Linked DNA regions of Sus scrofa. The protein of the gene in region 1 purifies or fractionates together with the protein of each later gene. This does not show direct contact. Links are inferred from orthologs where the notes say so. Each region holds a gene or a part of one and is shown in the gene's direction. Other genes may lie near its edges.

What was found. The genes of interacting proteins can lie anywhere in the genome.
Region 2: the proteins of PPP2CA (region 1) and PRR14L purify together in Homo sapiens (affinity purification with mass spectrometry; 3 studies listed by BioGRID and IntAct, with this or other methods). This does not show direct contact. The link is inferred for Sus scrofa from reciprocal best matches to the Homo sapiens genes PPP2CA and PRR14L.
Region 3: the proteins of PPP2CA (region 1) and ANKLE2 purify together in Homo sapiens (affinity purification with mass spectrometry; 4 studies listed by BioGRID and IntAct, with this or other methods). This does not show direct contact. The link is inferred for Sus scrofa from reciprocal best matches to the Homo sapiens genes PPP2CA and ANKLE2.
Region 4: the proteins of PPP2CA (region 1) and CCT5 purify together in Homo sapiens (affinity purification with mass spectrometry; 4 studies listed by BioGRID and IntAct, with this or other methods). This does not show direct contact. The link is inferred for Sus scrofa from reciprocal best matches to the Homo sapiens genes PPP2CA and CCT5.

What each region holds. Positions count from the first base shown.
Region 1 is NC_010444.4:136,502,131-136,505,630, reverse strand, and holds part of PPP2CA (serine/threonine-protein phosphatase 2A catalytic subunit alpha isoform), read left to right. Parts: intron 1-805; coding exon 806-979; intron 980-2,120; coding exon 2,121-2,210; intron 2,211-2,727; coding exon 2,728-2,889; intron 2,890-3,500. UniProt on the Homo sapiens protein: Catalytic subunit of protein phosphatase 2A (PP2A), a serine/threonine phosphatase involved in the regulation of a wide variety of enzymes, signal transduction pathways, and cellular events.
Region 2 is NC_010456.5:48,380,241-48,383,740, reverse strand, and holds part of PRR14L (protein PRR14L), read left to right. Parts: intron 1-455; coding exon 456-3,500.
Region 3 is NC_010456.5:22,759,135-22,762,634, forward strand, and holds part of ANKLE2 (ankyrin repeat and LEM domain-containing protein 2), read left to right. Parts: intron 1-2,029; coding exon 2,030-2,152; intron 2,153-3,500. UniProt on the Homo sapiens protein: Involved in mitotic nuclear envelope reassembly by promoting dephosphorylation of BAF/BANF1 during mitotic exit.
Region 4 is NC_010458.4:72,213,203-72,216,702, reverse strand, and holds part of CCT5 (T-complex protein 1 subunit epsilon), read left to right. Parts: intron 1-1,823; coding exon 1,824-1,943; intron 1,944-2,462; coding exon 2,463-2,648; intron 2,649-3,251; coding exon 3,252-3,389; intron 3,390-3,500. UniProt on the Homo sapiens protein: Component of the chaperonin-containing T-complex (TRiC), a molecular chaperone complex that assists the folding of actin, tubulin and other proteins upon ATP hydrolysis.

The sequences.
Region 1 (3,500 bases):
TCAAAATCAGACCCATTAGAATGGCTTTTATCAGTTAGGTTTGTTACACGATGCGTTAGTTTGTTGGAGAGATTAGAACAAAGAAAAATGAAAGCATAGAGCATACAGAGACTTTTTGCATGAAGTATGATCACGGCAACGTTATTCATAATAGCCCCAAACTGCAGGCAACCCAGATGTTCAGCCTACTGGTGGGGGAAAAAAACAACAAAAAACATACGTACATGTTATATATCTAGTATTGCCACACAGTGGAATACTGTGCAGTAATAAAAAGAGACAGATCACTGATCCATACAGAGATGAGTCTCAGAAATATTCTACTAAATATAGGAAGCCAGTTACACACCAAAAAACTACATATTGTATGATTCCATTTCTAGAGAAAGCAAATCTCAAGAGACACTATCAGTGGTTACTGCGTGGGAGTCAGGAGTGATTGCCAGCAGGCATGCAGGATCTTTCTGGGTTAATGGAAAAGTTCTAAAACGGGAATGCGATGGTTGTTGTGTAACTATAACAAAACTCATGGATGGAGTTGTGCAGCCGATGATTATGCTTGGCATAAAGTTGGTGAAATTTGATTTTAATTGACATGGATGGGATTGGCAGATACCCCATGGGATGAATATCTGTTCAGTTCTGTGTGATATGGAGGGTGGGTGGGTGTGTTTGTGTTTGAGGGCAGGGTGGGGTGTTTTTGAACATAACTGAAACTGTATTTTCCCGTAGAAAGCTTATTGGGTTGTCATTTGGTTTTCGAAGGATCCAGTTGTTTATGTTGTTTTCCTCTTTGTCATTTCAGGTTCGTTACCGTGAACGCATCACCATTCTTCGAGGAAATCATGAGAGCAGACAGATCACACAAGTATATGGTTTCTATGATGAGTGTTTAAGGAAATATGGAAATGCAAATGTTTGGAAATATTTTACAGATCTTTTTGATTATCTTCCTCTCACTGCATTAGTGGATGGGCAGGTATGTAGGTCTTCTTAAAACTTATTGCTGGGGTTCCTTTCGTGGCACAGTGGTTAACGAATCCAACTAAGAACCATGAGGTTTCAGGTTCGGTCCCTGGCCTTGCACAGTTGGTTAAGGATCTGGTGTGGCCGTGAGCTGTGGTGTAGGTTGCAGACGCGGCTCGGATCTCGCATTGCTGTGGCTGTAGTGTAGGCTGGTGGCTACAGCTCCGATTCAACCCCTAACCTGGGAACCTCCATATGCCATGGGAGCGGCCCAAGAAATGGCAAAAAGACCCCCCCCCCCAAAAAAAAAAAAACAAAAAAAACCTTACTGCTGATTATTTTCTAGAATATGCTTTCTTAGCATTTAGGTGGCAATAAGTCATTTTTCCATCCTCACTTCCCTTTGGGGCTTTTTTTGACGTGCCTTCTTTATGTCAGGCACTGAACTGTATGTTGGGACCACAGGGGTGGAAGATGTAGCCCATCCATTCTCTTCAGCTGTTTGTGGACATGTCGGCGTGGGGGTCAGGGTGAGGGATGTAATTAGCCATTTACGGATCTTGAGAAATGCACCAAAAAATTCCCAGGAAATTCTGTGGAGAGGAAGATAATAGTCTATGATGAAGGTAAAATCAGAGAAATGTTTTTTCTTAAAAGAGTTGGTTTAAGTTTGGGTGCAGTAGGAATAGTTCAGGAAGAATGGGAGTGTATTCCATAGTTTAAAGTGGGATGGAGTTCCCATCATAGCGCAGTGGTTAACGAATCCAACTAGGATCCATGAGGTTGAGGGTTCGATCCCTGGCCTTGTTCAGTGGGTTAAGTATCCGGCGTTGCCATGAGCTGTGGCGTAGGTCGAAGATGTGGCTGTGGTGTAGGCCGGCATCTACAGCTCCGATTAGACCCCTAATCTGGGAACCTCCACATGCCTCGGTGCGGCCCTAGAAAAGGCAAAAAGATGGGGAATAAAAATAAAAACATTAAAGTGAAATGGGGTGGAAGAAAAAAAGACCCTGCAGAAATAAGCCTAGTTCTAGTTCTGGCAGAATGCCGAAACACCAGTTGGGCCAAGTGATGTGGTCTGCTGCCTGCAGCTTAGTCCAGAATGTTTACGGTTTATTTTAGATGAGGGTAACATTGTAAACCACTCTTTTCAGATCTTCTGTCTACATGGTGGCCTCTCACCATCCATAGATACACTGGATCACATCAGAGCACTTGATCGCCTGCAAGAAGTTCCCCATGAGGTATTGATGCTTTCTTTTCAAGAAACATTAGAGGAAATGTTTAATTGTGACTTAATTACAAGTATTTTCTTGTTTAATTCTCAAAAACGATCCCATGTGGTGTGAGCATTCTTGTTGACCTCATTCTTCCGACGCTAACATTAAGAAAACTGCTGAGATCACGGTTGCTTTGCGATTGGGTTTAGGACCTAGGTGGTGGTTGTCTTTACAGCTTCTGTCTTAATTTCTAAACTCTACTGCCTAACATTGAAATTTGCATCCTAAAGGCAGATTAATTAGTATGGGCTTGTTGCTCTTGGGACTTATTGATGTAGGCTGTGCCTGTTAAAAACATTTGAAAATAGTTTCTTATTTACTTGACCCAAATATTTGACGCAGTCTGCAAATCCTTTTACCGTTTTCAGCAAACATCATTCAGAAAGTGTGACTTAGGAGGGCGCAGCTTCTGATGAATTACTCAGATCATGTATTTAACCAGGTTTGCAAGAGGTGGTCTAAAACTTAACTTGCTTTTTAGGGTCCAATGTGTGACTTGCTGTGGTCAGATCCAGATGACCGTGGAGGTTGGGGTATATCTCCTCGAGGAGCTGGTTACACTTTTGGGCAAGATATTTCCGAGACATTTAATCATGCCAATGGCCTCACGTTGGTGTCCAGAGCTCATCAGCTCGTGATGGAGGTATGTTCTGTATTTTGATGCTTGATTTGCTTTTTTATTTATTTATTTTTTCGTCTTTTCTAGGGCCACTCCTTTGGCATATGGAGGTTCCCAGGCTAGGGGTCAATCGGAGCTGTAGCCACCGGCCTACACCAGAGTCACAACAACTCAGCATCCGAGCCGTGTCTGGGACCTACACCACAGCTCACAGCAATGCTGGATCCTTAACCCACTCAGCAAGGCCAGGGATCGAACATGCAACCTCATGGTTCCTAGTCAGATTCATTTCTGTTGCGCCACGAAGGGAACTCCTTGATTTGCTTTTTAAGTAAACTTGAGGAAGATGTTAGGGATTTTATGTTATGTTAATATATTTTAAATTATATGATTTATTAATATATTAATGAGAACATGCCGTGTATTTTTCTGATGAGTTTGCCATTATAGCATGTCTTATGGCTAGATGCCCACTAGAATAAAACCTCAAGGAGTTCCCCCTGTGGCAAAGTGGGAATACCAGCATTTCTGCAGCACCAGGATGCATGTTTTATAACCTGCATGGCATAGTGAGTTAAAGGATCCAGCATTTCGACAGCTGTGGCATAGGTTGCCACTATAGCTTGGGTCTGATC
Region 2 (3,500 bases), on another chromosome or scaffold:
GAATTAGGCATATGTCTTCTCATTATATTCATTTATCCAGCTAAGTAAGTGCATTTAAGAAAGCTACATTTAGAGAGTCCCCTGGTGGTCTAGTAGTTAGGACTCAATGTTTCCCTGCTGCAGCCTAGGTTTGGTCCCTGGTCTGGGAACTAAGATCCCACATCAAGCCATTGCACACCTGGGCTAAAAAAACAAAAAAAAAAGGTGACATTTAAAGAAAAGCATTTGTTCAAAATAACCTGTTTCTTCCAGGTACTTTCTTGGCCCTCTGTCGTATTTTGCAGAAAAGAACAAGCCAATGGTCTTATACCACCAACATGGCAATTCCCTCCTTGAGTTGGTTTTCTTATTGTTTCTTGTTACTTCTGTTTGTTGCATGATTGAATTTATGAAGGTAGAGCAAAGGGTTTGTTTTAATGCTTACGTACTGATTTGGATTTATTTCTCTTGTGCAGAAGGAAATGTACAAATTTCAACTGGCACTCTGCTGAAATCCACGGAAGAAGTTCAAGGTATGAAGGTCAGTGGGCCTAAGATGAATAATAGTGAAGGACACAACAACAGCCATGTGAGTAAAGGTCTCTCGGATGGGTGCAGCAGCTGCCCTGAAGCAGACAAAATCATGACCAGTGCTGAGATTTCTTTAGAACCTTTAAACTTTGTGGACCCTGGATTAATGGAAGCAACTCCTACAGAAAAAGAATGTGAAGAATTAAAAACCTGTCCTTCTTGGTTGCCATTATTACCAGGAAATATTGCCATTTCCACAGTGGACCATGGGAAGGAAGAGTTGTGTAGATTAAATCTTGTCTGTGAAGCAGATGACAATCACCAACAGAATCTTGGCCACCATAACGAGAGATACAGTTCTGTCCATGGCAGTCCCAAAACCACGAAAAGTGTGGTTATTTTAGAACCCTTAGAAGAAAATCCCGAAGTTTCACATTTCACGTCAAGTTTGTCTGGTCCAGAATCCAGAACAGAATCTTCAGACAAGTGTGATTTAGAAGGCGACAGCTTGCCAAAGGGATCTGCTGAAAAGACAGACAAGTCCTGTTTTAATGGGGATGATCAAAGCAAGAATGTGGCTTCTAGAGAAGAAAATGAACAGCCTTTGAGCCCCAGGAGTGAAAGAGAGGAACTCTTTCTTGTTAATGCCAAGCAACTGGAAGAGGATGCTAGCAGTCACTGTTTAGGAAAAAAAGAGACTGTTAACTTCCCCAAAGGCAATATCCATGATAACTGCTGCCCTTTAGGCAGTGTCCATAAAGACTCCTCTAATTCTTTAATGCCTAATTCTTTCACTGAGGCCACAGAAGTAATGTCTAAAAAAAATGATCTTAAAATGACTTTAGACATTCACGGTAGCTTGGCAAACCAAGAGGACCAAGGAGGAACTTTTAGTAACATGAGCCATCCAGGCACAGGCCCTGAAGAGAGCCATTCTTCCTCTTTGATACAGATCGAAGAGCCAGAACACACAGCCACTGCAGAGCCCCATGTGTTAAGAGAAAAAATTTATAGTAAAGACTGTCACTCCATCAGCACCCAGAGAAACCTGGAAGGCAGCACCCAGTCAAACGAAGCATCCCATAATGGATTTCAGATTGAAAGAAAATCCCCTATGAGTCTAACACCAGAGGACCAGATGAGTTCTACAAATGAGGTGTCAAAACCTGAGAAAGACATTGCTCTATCACCGCCATCCCTAGAATGTGATAACAGATCTGAGTCAGAAATGGCTCTACGGAACTCCCAGGATGATAGTTCACAATTAGATAAACAGAGCACTGCCTGGGAGGTGAATGAACTTCTTTGTACCAAAATGGGAAGTGAATGTCTTTTAAATCAAGTGTTCCTTAATTCTCCAAACCACACGAAGTTGCCAACTGACAAAGAGATGCCTGTAGCAGTGAGCAAGGGCTGCCAACAGAGTCAGCGTGCTCCATTAGAGGATTGCGCAGATGTCACTGCTGGTACCCAGACCATTCCTGGGAAGACAAAAATGAAAGACATCTCTCCACCAGGTGACCAAACCTGTGGTACCTCTTCAAACAATTCCACCTTAAATGGCATACCAGGAAGCCTGGAAAGAAAAAGCAAAACAGCTGATTCCAGAGCTACAAATCTATCTTCCAGACTGCTCTCAAATGAGAATGAAGCAGTAGGCTTGCCTCAAGAGGGATCTGCTGTGGAATGTCAAAGTGCTCAATCTCAGGCTCTCTCTAGTTGCCTTTGTGTAAGAAAGCACGTCCCTGATGAGATGTGTTCTGCCTATGTCCTGGAGTCCAGCACAGCCCTGGTGGGAGTTGAGAACTTGCTAACAACCATGTATGAAAATGTATTTCAGTATAGTGACCACCACCCCCAAGGGAAAGAAGGCTCTGTACCCCATAAAGTGAGCTGTACCTTGTTGGAAGGTGAACCGGATGGGGGAGGAACCAAAGGCAGCCTTCCAGGAAGTAAGACCAGAAATGAAATGACTGCAGGCATGTTAAATAGCGAAGCTTCAAACAAAACCATCCCCACCATCCAGCCCAGTGAGAAAGGGCTAGAAGAAAAAGAACAGGATATACCCAAAGAGGCTATGTTTTGTAAACATAACATTTCTGACTGGGCCATACAAGAACCAAACCAACCTTCCAACATTCCAAGTCCTGAAAAATTGTTGGACCAGTTTCCTACTCTTAGGTTCTCCAATGTTAAAATCATGAACCCAACAGCTGACACTCTTGAGCAGAAGGCAGATGGAGCCCTCGACTGCCAGGGCAATCCACACAGACCAGATGAATGCAGAGGTGAGGACAGCCCAGCTAGGGAAACCCTAGGTCGTGACCAGAGAGAGACGGTCACAGAGCCTACCAGAGAGGGGAGCCACCCCCAGAAGGATCTTCCAGTCAGTCCCGGCAGTAATAGCTGCGTGTCTGGTGGAATCGCAAAGAAGGGGGCCTTAAAAAGGATTCCTGGTTGTGAGGCATCCACAGATGGTATGGTGGACGTGTTCCCCCCAGTCTGTAGTAACAAGCCCCCAGAAGGCATTCTGGATGCCACAGCTTCTAGCACACTTACTGGTGGCGCCAGGCGAGATGGACCGATGTCATGTGAGCCTTCAAGGAGCCCATTGCCCCAGACAGGAGAGCTGACCACCATGGTTATGGAAATGATCAACCAGGATTCAGATCACCAGGAGGCCACTTCCTCTACAGCAGAATCTTTCAATGCTGAAAAATCATGTGAAGAGAAAGTATGCAGATCATTAAAAGATTGTGATCTAGAAGTATGTCCAGACTCTTGTGACCATGAGGTGGAGTCTGTTGCGGATCATGAACCAAATGTAAGGATGTTGAGGGGAGTAAATGTGTCTTTAAATTATACTCTTGGTGAACAGCAAGTTAAAGAAGCATCTCTGACAGAAACACAAGGAATGATCGAAGGATCAAGACTAGAAATAAATGCTGAGTGTGGCAAGGAAAATACCACTGGACTTTGCTCAGAAGAGC
Region 3 (3,500 bases), on another chromosome or scaffold:
GTTCAGTGAGGGGGGGGGGTTAATGGTGCCTAAAGGGAAAACCTAGGCATGGCTGAGAACCAAGAATTGTACTAGGTGTTGGAAAAGTTGTGGTTGGCAGGAAAGGGAATTTAAAAAGCATATTGGAGGAGTTCCTGTTGTGGCGCAGTGGTTAACGAATCCAACTAGGAACCATGAGGTTGTGGGTTCGATCCCTGGCCTTGCTCAGTGGGTTAAGGATCCGGTGTTGCCGTGAGCTATGGTGTAGGTTGTAGTCACGGCTCAAATCCCACGTTGCTGTGGCTCTGGTGTAGGCTGGCAGGTACAGCTCCGATTAGACCCCTAGTCTGGGAACCTCCATATGCCGTGGGAGCTGCCCCAGAAAGGCAAAAAGACAAAAAATAAAATAAAATAAAAAATAAAAAGCATATTGGAGCAGTTCCCATGGTGGCTCAGTAGAAATGAATCTGACTAGTATCCATGAGGACTCTGGCCTTGTTCAGTGGGTTAAGGATTTGGGATTGCCATGAGCTGTGGTATAGGCTGGCAGCTGCAGCTCCAATTCGACCCCTAGCCTGGGAACTTCCATATGCCTAGGGTGCAGCCCTAGAAAGACCAAAAAAAATAAATAAATGAAAAGCATATTGGAGGAGCTCCCTGGTGGCTCAGTAGGTTAAGGACCTGGTGTTGTCAGTGCTGTGGCTCAGGTCACTGCTGCTGTGGTGCATGGGTTTGATCTATGTGCCACGGGCAGGGCCAAAAAAAAAAAATTAGGGTTGTAATATATTATTTTGTAACACATAGTGCATATGGTACATTGAACTGCGGAATTGGAAAGCAAGAATAACTACTAAATTTAGCAAAATTAGAGTGGGCCTAAAGAGGAATCAGCAGTTATATAAAAGTAATAGTAAGCATGAAATAGGATAGAAGGGGCAAAATCAGCGTATCAGACTAAGTGTGAACAAACTGAATGAATAAGGGTAAGTGCTTAGGCCAGCAGCTACAGCTCTGATTCAACCCCTAGCCTAGAACTTCCATATTCTTTAGATGTGGCCCTAAAAAGGAAAAAAAAAGAGAGGGAACTTTATTGGAACACAACTCTGCTCATTCTCTGTGCACAGCTACAGAGAAGAGTGGAGTAGGATGACTGAGGCAGAGCTAGATGGCTTGCGAAACCCCAGGTGTTTACCATGCTCCCTGAACTGAGTAAGCTCACCAACCCTGGACAGGGGACAGGTTGTGCGGGAGAGTGAGCAGAGCAAGCGGTAGTGTCGTCAGACACATAAGTTGTCTGAGGGGATGAGATGGCCCTAGAGGGTATGTGGCATAGCGAAGGAGCTGAGCTCCCTGGGGCCGCCCAGTGGAGGGGACTGGACTGGAGCTGGGGGTGTTGAGTGCAGACAGCCTGGGTGAGAAGCAGAGGGACGCAGCCAGGGTGGCTTGAGGGAGGGGTGGTGCTGAAGCTGGGACTGCAGTAGCTGCATGTGGCTTGCAGGCCATGCTCTGGTAACCATGAGTGGGCTCTGTTTTGGACATTCTGCATCCAAGCCTGTGGCAGCAGCTGTGGGGAGCTGGCATGCGGAGGGTACCAGCAGGGGCGGGTCAACATCGAAAAATACCAAGAAATCAGGAGGGGCAAGTTTCATTTACTGGAGGATGAGCCAGTAAAGAGAGTTTTAGGTACAGACCAATTCATGGCCTTTGCTTCATTTTGGATGTTTCCTTCATCTGTTTATTTTGCTTCTTGAGCATTGGTTTTAAGACATTGTCCTGGGCTCTGCATTGTTGAAGCCACTCTTTGCTGAGCAGGTGTCACCTCAGCTCTGTTGTAAGCTCCCCAGGGCACGAGATACACAGTAAGTGAGGTGCTGTGCTGGGGTGTGTGCTAGTGTGCCAGTTACATTTTAGTTATAAAAACATTGTCTTTTTATGGTCTTTTATTTTTGAGGAGTTTTGTTTGATTGGGCTTTTTTTAGTCTTAAAACAACCTTATGAGACGAAAAAGTATATTTAAGAAATAAATGTTCTTCCTTTGCATCTCTCTCAGGGCTACGACACACCATTGCATTTTGCTTGCAAGTTTGGGAATGCAGATGTGGTCAATGTGCTTTCCTCACACCCTTTGATTGTAAAAAACCCAAGGAATAAATATGATAAAACACCTGAAGATGTAAGTACCTATTAAAATGCTATTACTGGAGTTCCCTTGTGGCTCATCGGGTTAAGAATCCAGTGTTGTCACTGCTATGGCTCTGGTTACAGCTGTAGTACTGGTTTCATCTTTCACCTGGGAACTTTTTTTTTTTTTTTTTTTTGGTCTTTTTCCCTTTTCTTGAGCCGCTCCCACGGCATATGGAGGTTCCCAGGCTAGGGGTCTAATCGGAGCTGTAGCCACCGGCCACAGCAACGCAGGATTTGAGCCGCGTCTGCAACCTACACCACACTCACGGTAACGCCGGATCCTTAACCCACTGAGCAAGGGCAGGAATCGAACCCGCAACCTCATGGTTCCTAGTCGGATTCGTTTAACCACTGCACCACGACAGGAACTCCTGGCCTGGGAACTTCTGTATTCCATGGATGCGGCCAAAAATAAATAAGGAAATAAATAAGTAAAATGCTATTACTACATGGTGTTAGTAATGAAAATATGTAAAATTACAGTTCGCAGTCACGGCCCCTGTGAGGTCAGAAGTAACTCTGACTTTGTGACTGTGTTTGCCCCATGGGCACATCTTAGAACCCCAATTGTTAAAGTAAGAGGGACTCTGAAGAAGATGCGTCTGCAGACCCCAGGGGGAATAACTTTCCCCGTTTGCAGCTTTTATTTTCCTGACACGTGTTGAGGTTGTTCTCAACAGCTCCCTTTGTCTTTTATCAAGTTCCCTCTGTGCATGCTCAGCATCGGAGAGAACAGAGGAGGTGGTGTTGAGGGTGATGGCGGTGGTGGTGAGGAGGATGGTGGTGTTCAAGGAAATGGTGACAGTGAGGAGGATGGTGGTGGGGATCACTGGAATAAAGACGGTGGTGGTGAGGAGGGTGGAGGTAGGGATCATTGAGGGAACTTGGCGATGATGAGGTGGACGTTGAAAGTAGCTGACAGTGTGTTCAGCTCACTGTGCAACAGGTGCTGCCTAAGCCCCTCCTATGTATTCTTATCTGCCCCATTCTAGCCTTATGAAGCAGGCCTTGTCATGATCTATATTGGCAGTTGAGTAAAATGCACCTTAGAGAGGGCAGAGGTGCCTCTGTGCAGTGAGGTGGTGAGGGAGGTGGACCTAAACAGAAACAGAAAATGGGTTAATTTGTCCCACGCGTTAGAGCTGTTACTGGCCTGGGCCTGCCAGCCCTTTAGAGATAGAATATGTGTGGTCCTGTTCTGGAGCGAGCGCCTCCTTTGTAGTTGCTATGATACAGAAGTAATGCCCACATCTGTAGAAATTATAGAATACACATAAAAAGAATAAAATTTGCCAGGCAATTCTATGGCTTAGAAATTGCTATTATTTTGCATAAAC
Region 4 (3,500 bases), on another chromosome or scaffold:
AATCAGACTAGGTGCGGACATAGTAGTCCCAGGTCTTTGCTGAAACAAGGCTGTTATTCTGTCTATCCTGAACTCTCTCTGGCCGTTGATTTTTTTGTGTGCCTGCTCTCCGGTGGAGCAGGTCCCCGTAGGGCCCCCGTCCTGGGAATTGAGAACACAAGCACTCGGGTGCGTGAACACAGATCTCTCGGGTAGAAGGTCATCTTAGCGAACAGACCAGGCGCTGTTTCGGTGTTTGGAGCAGGAGGGTCAGTTGAGTTAGTTTTCGTTTTCATGGTGCCGTCCTCTGCCTGATGTGTGCCAGCAGAGTTGAGGGCGCTGGGCATGTGGCAGTGAGCAAAACAGTGCTTGCTCTTGGGCTGCGGAGTCGGGGGAAAGCAGGTGGGATCTGGGTTACAGACACAGGTCAAGGGCCTCTCTAAGGAGACCTCGGGGAAGTGAGAGCAGCGTGTCTGGGCGAGGAGTGTTCCAGGCTGCCAGGGGGTGTGGGCAGCGTGTACGGAGGAGGCCCTGAGGCCGGGGTCAGCAAGCCGGAGGGCTTGGGGAGCTGGCAGAGGGTTATAAGCAAAAGGTGGTTTTCTGGGCTACAGGGTGGCCGACGTGCCCAAGAGGAAAAGGTGACAGGAACTAAGATGCCGAGGGTGTGCGTGGATCACGTTGATAGATGTGCGGGTGGCTGGGAGTGGTGACAGGGATTCTGAGGAACCCAGAGAGGAACACTGGGGGCTGCAGGAGCGGGAGGGGCCTCTGCTAGTGTGAGCATGTGGCAGGAAAAGAGCCATTTGTGAGAATGCCAGGGCATGTGTGTGTTTCAGGGGACAGCTAGTGTTCACGGCAAGGATATAAAGGAGATGTCTTCCAGAAGGAGTTCAGTAACGCACCGATTCCAGAGGTGCAGGGGTAGAGCGCCCGGTGTGGTGAGAAGAGACAGGTGAAATGCTGGTTGTGGGATACGGTGTGGTTACGGCAGCTGATCCCTGCGGGAGGGGTTGACGGTTCTGATCACTGACGCCTTCCTGGGACAAGTCACTTAGCCACTTGTTGAGGTGGGGGGGTTTCTTAACAGAAGCAGGATCGTCCCGTCTGCCCCATAATTAGTCTGTATCTTGATAGCCACAGGGGCAAAGTGGGAAAAGCAAGTTGCAGGAAGATGTGTCATAAAGTGGAGGGTTTGTAAGCATGCATATGGATCAGCTGCTTCATGGGGGTTTGTGCCGGGACAGAGCTGCCGGCTTTGGTTTCTCAGCTCCCAGTTGTGGGGGCGGGTTGCCCTGCTGTCCTGTGTTGCTTCACTGGCATTGAGCGTGAATTACTACTGTTCAAAGCTTTGCTTACAAATGACATGATTCCAAAGTTCCCTGTGGCTCAGCCGGTTAAGGATCCCACGTTGTGGCTGTAGTGGCTAAGGTCACTGCTGTGGCGCAGGTTCAATCCCTGGTCTGGGAACTTCCACGTGCTACGGTGCGTGTCCAAAAAAAATAAATAAATGAGGTGATTCCCCTTGATACATACATGTTCATTGTTTAGAGTTTGGAGCAGACAGGAAGACATTTATTTTCTTTGTCATGGTCTTCTTTGTGCTTTATTTTTTCCTTGTGGGTTCATTCATTTGTTGGATTACACAGTGTTTGACGTGTGATAATAAATCCATCTGTGCCCTGCTGCCATCGTGTGTGAGATGGCAGGAGATGAGGCCAGTGCTGTGTTTTGTTTGAATGCACCCATCTTACACATTGTTATGTTTCTCACCTGTTTTCAGTGTTTTCCTACATTAGAGGACAAAGAATACTGTGTTTTTAACATGGTGATGTATCTTTTCCCAGATTAAGGAAACTGGCGCTAACCTAGCTATCTGCCAATGGGGATTTGACGATGAAGCAAATCATTTACTTCTTCAGAATAACTTGCCTGCGGTTCGTTGGGTTGGAGGCCCTGAAATCGAGGTAGGAAGCTCCCTGTGCAGAGTGGGACGGGGTCGAGCTTAGGATGCACATGCATTTGAGGCGCTGTGCCCGTGCTGGCCGTCAGGCACCACCTTGTGCCACGGCTCTACTGTTTTATATGTCTTTGGTGGTTTGTGGCATTTTGAAATGCTTTCCTGTGTCGCCTCAGTGGCTGTCTGAGGCAGGAAGACTGGTTGACCACTTCTGGGTCAGCCAGATAAATACTAAGAGCCACTCCAGACACGGTCTGTACCCCCAGCCCACGGGGGTTCAGGCGTGTGTGGCCCGATTCAGAGGTGCGGTCAGCTGTGTGCTCTGTGCTGGAACCCTGGAACCTGACCAGGGCCAGGCCCATCTCTTCAAAACCTTGACCCTTCAACAAGGCTTTGGGGCTGGACTTTGATTTGGGTGGGCCAGCAGTTCTGGTGAACAGTGACCGTGGGTCCGGTTGGGCTCTTTTACGAGCTGGTTTTGAGAGGCCCGGCTCAGCAGCCGACTTCCTCCCCTGCCCACGGTCAGTTGATCGCCATCGCCACCGGGGGGCGCATCGTGCCGCGGTTCTCGGAGCTCACGCCGGAGAAGCTGGGCTTCGCGGGGCTGGTGAAGGAGATCTCGTTCGGGACGACCAAGGACAAGATGCTGGTCATCGAGCAGTGTAAGAACTCCAGAGCCGTCACCATCTTCATCAGAGGAGGAAACAAGATGGTGAGAACTCAGCTCTGTCCTTTGCTGGTGCTGAAACGTGGTTTGGCTTTTGGCACACGGAGTTAACTGAGGCAGTTTCCGTAAGAAAGAAAAGGTCGTCTTTTTTGGAGAAGCAGTGACATGACCTGTCGTCAGACCCCTGGAGACTGTCCCACTTTCAGGTGTATGAGGGACACTTCCTTTCTTCAGTCCCTCAAGCAGAAACGGGAACCCAATCCCTAACCGTTGGCGCTGTCTCCGTGCTCCAGGCGTGGACGCCAGTGCGTCGTGGTGAATGAGGCTCATTGTGAGGCTCTCTTTACCAGTTTTATTTTGCCCGGCCCCTTGACTTGGTCGTGAGTCCTGGAAATGAGTCCCTGGCTGCCTCTCCCTGTTGTTAAAACAACTGCATCCTAGGAAAAGTAAGATGAAGGTGGGAACCATCCGAGGGTGGGCAGTATTCCGGCGGTGTTCCCTCCGTTTGTTCTTAGCCAGGCGCCCTCCCGGGGCCGGGCCGGGCCGTTTCCAGGACCAGCAAGCGCTGAGGTTAAACCAGGTGCACAGTATTGGGCTCTGAATGATGAGATCACAGTCACATTGACCGCCACGAAACCGTTTCCCCAGATCATCGAGGAGGCCAAGCGATCCCTTCATGACGCTCTGTGTGTCATCCGGAACCTCATCCGCGACAACCGCGTGGTCTACGGCGGCGGCGCTGCTGAGATCGCCTGCGCCCTGGCGGTCAGCCAGGAGGCAGACAAGGTGAAGCGCGGGGACCGCGGCGGGCGAGGCGGGGCGCTGGGCTCCAGGTGCTCCATCCCGGTTGGTTCTCCTGCCCGTGTGGGAACATAAAGTGCGGCGGCACCTTCTGCA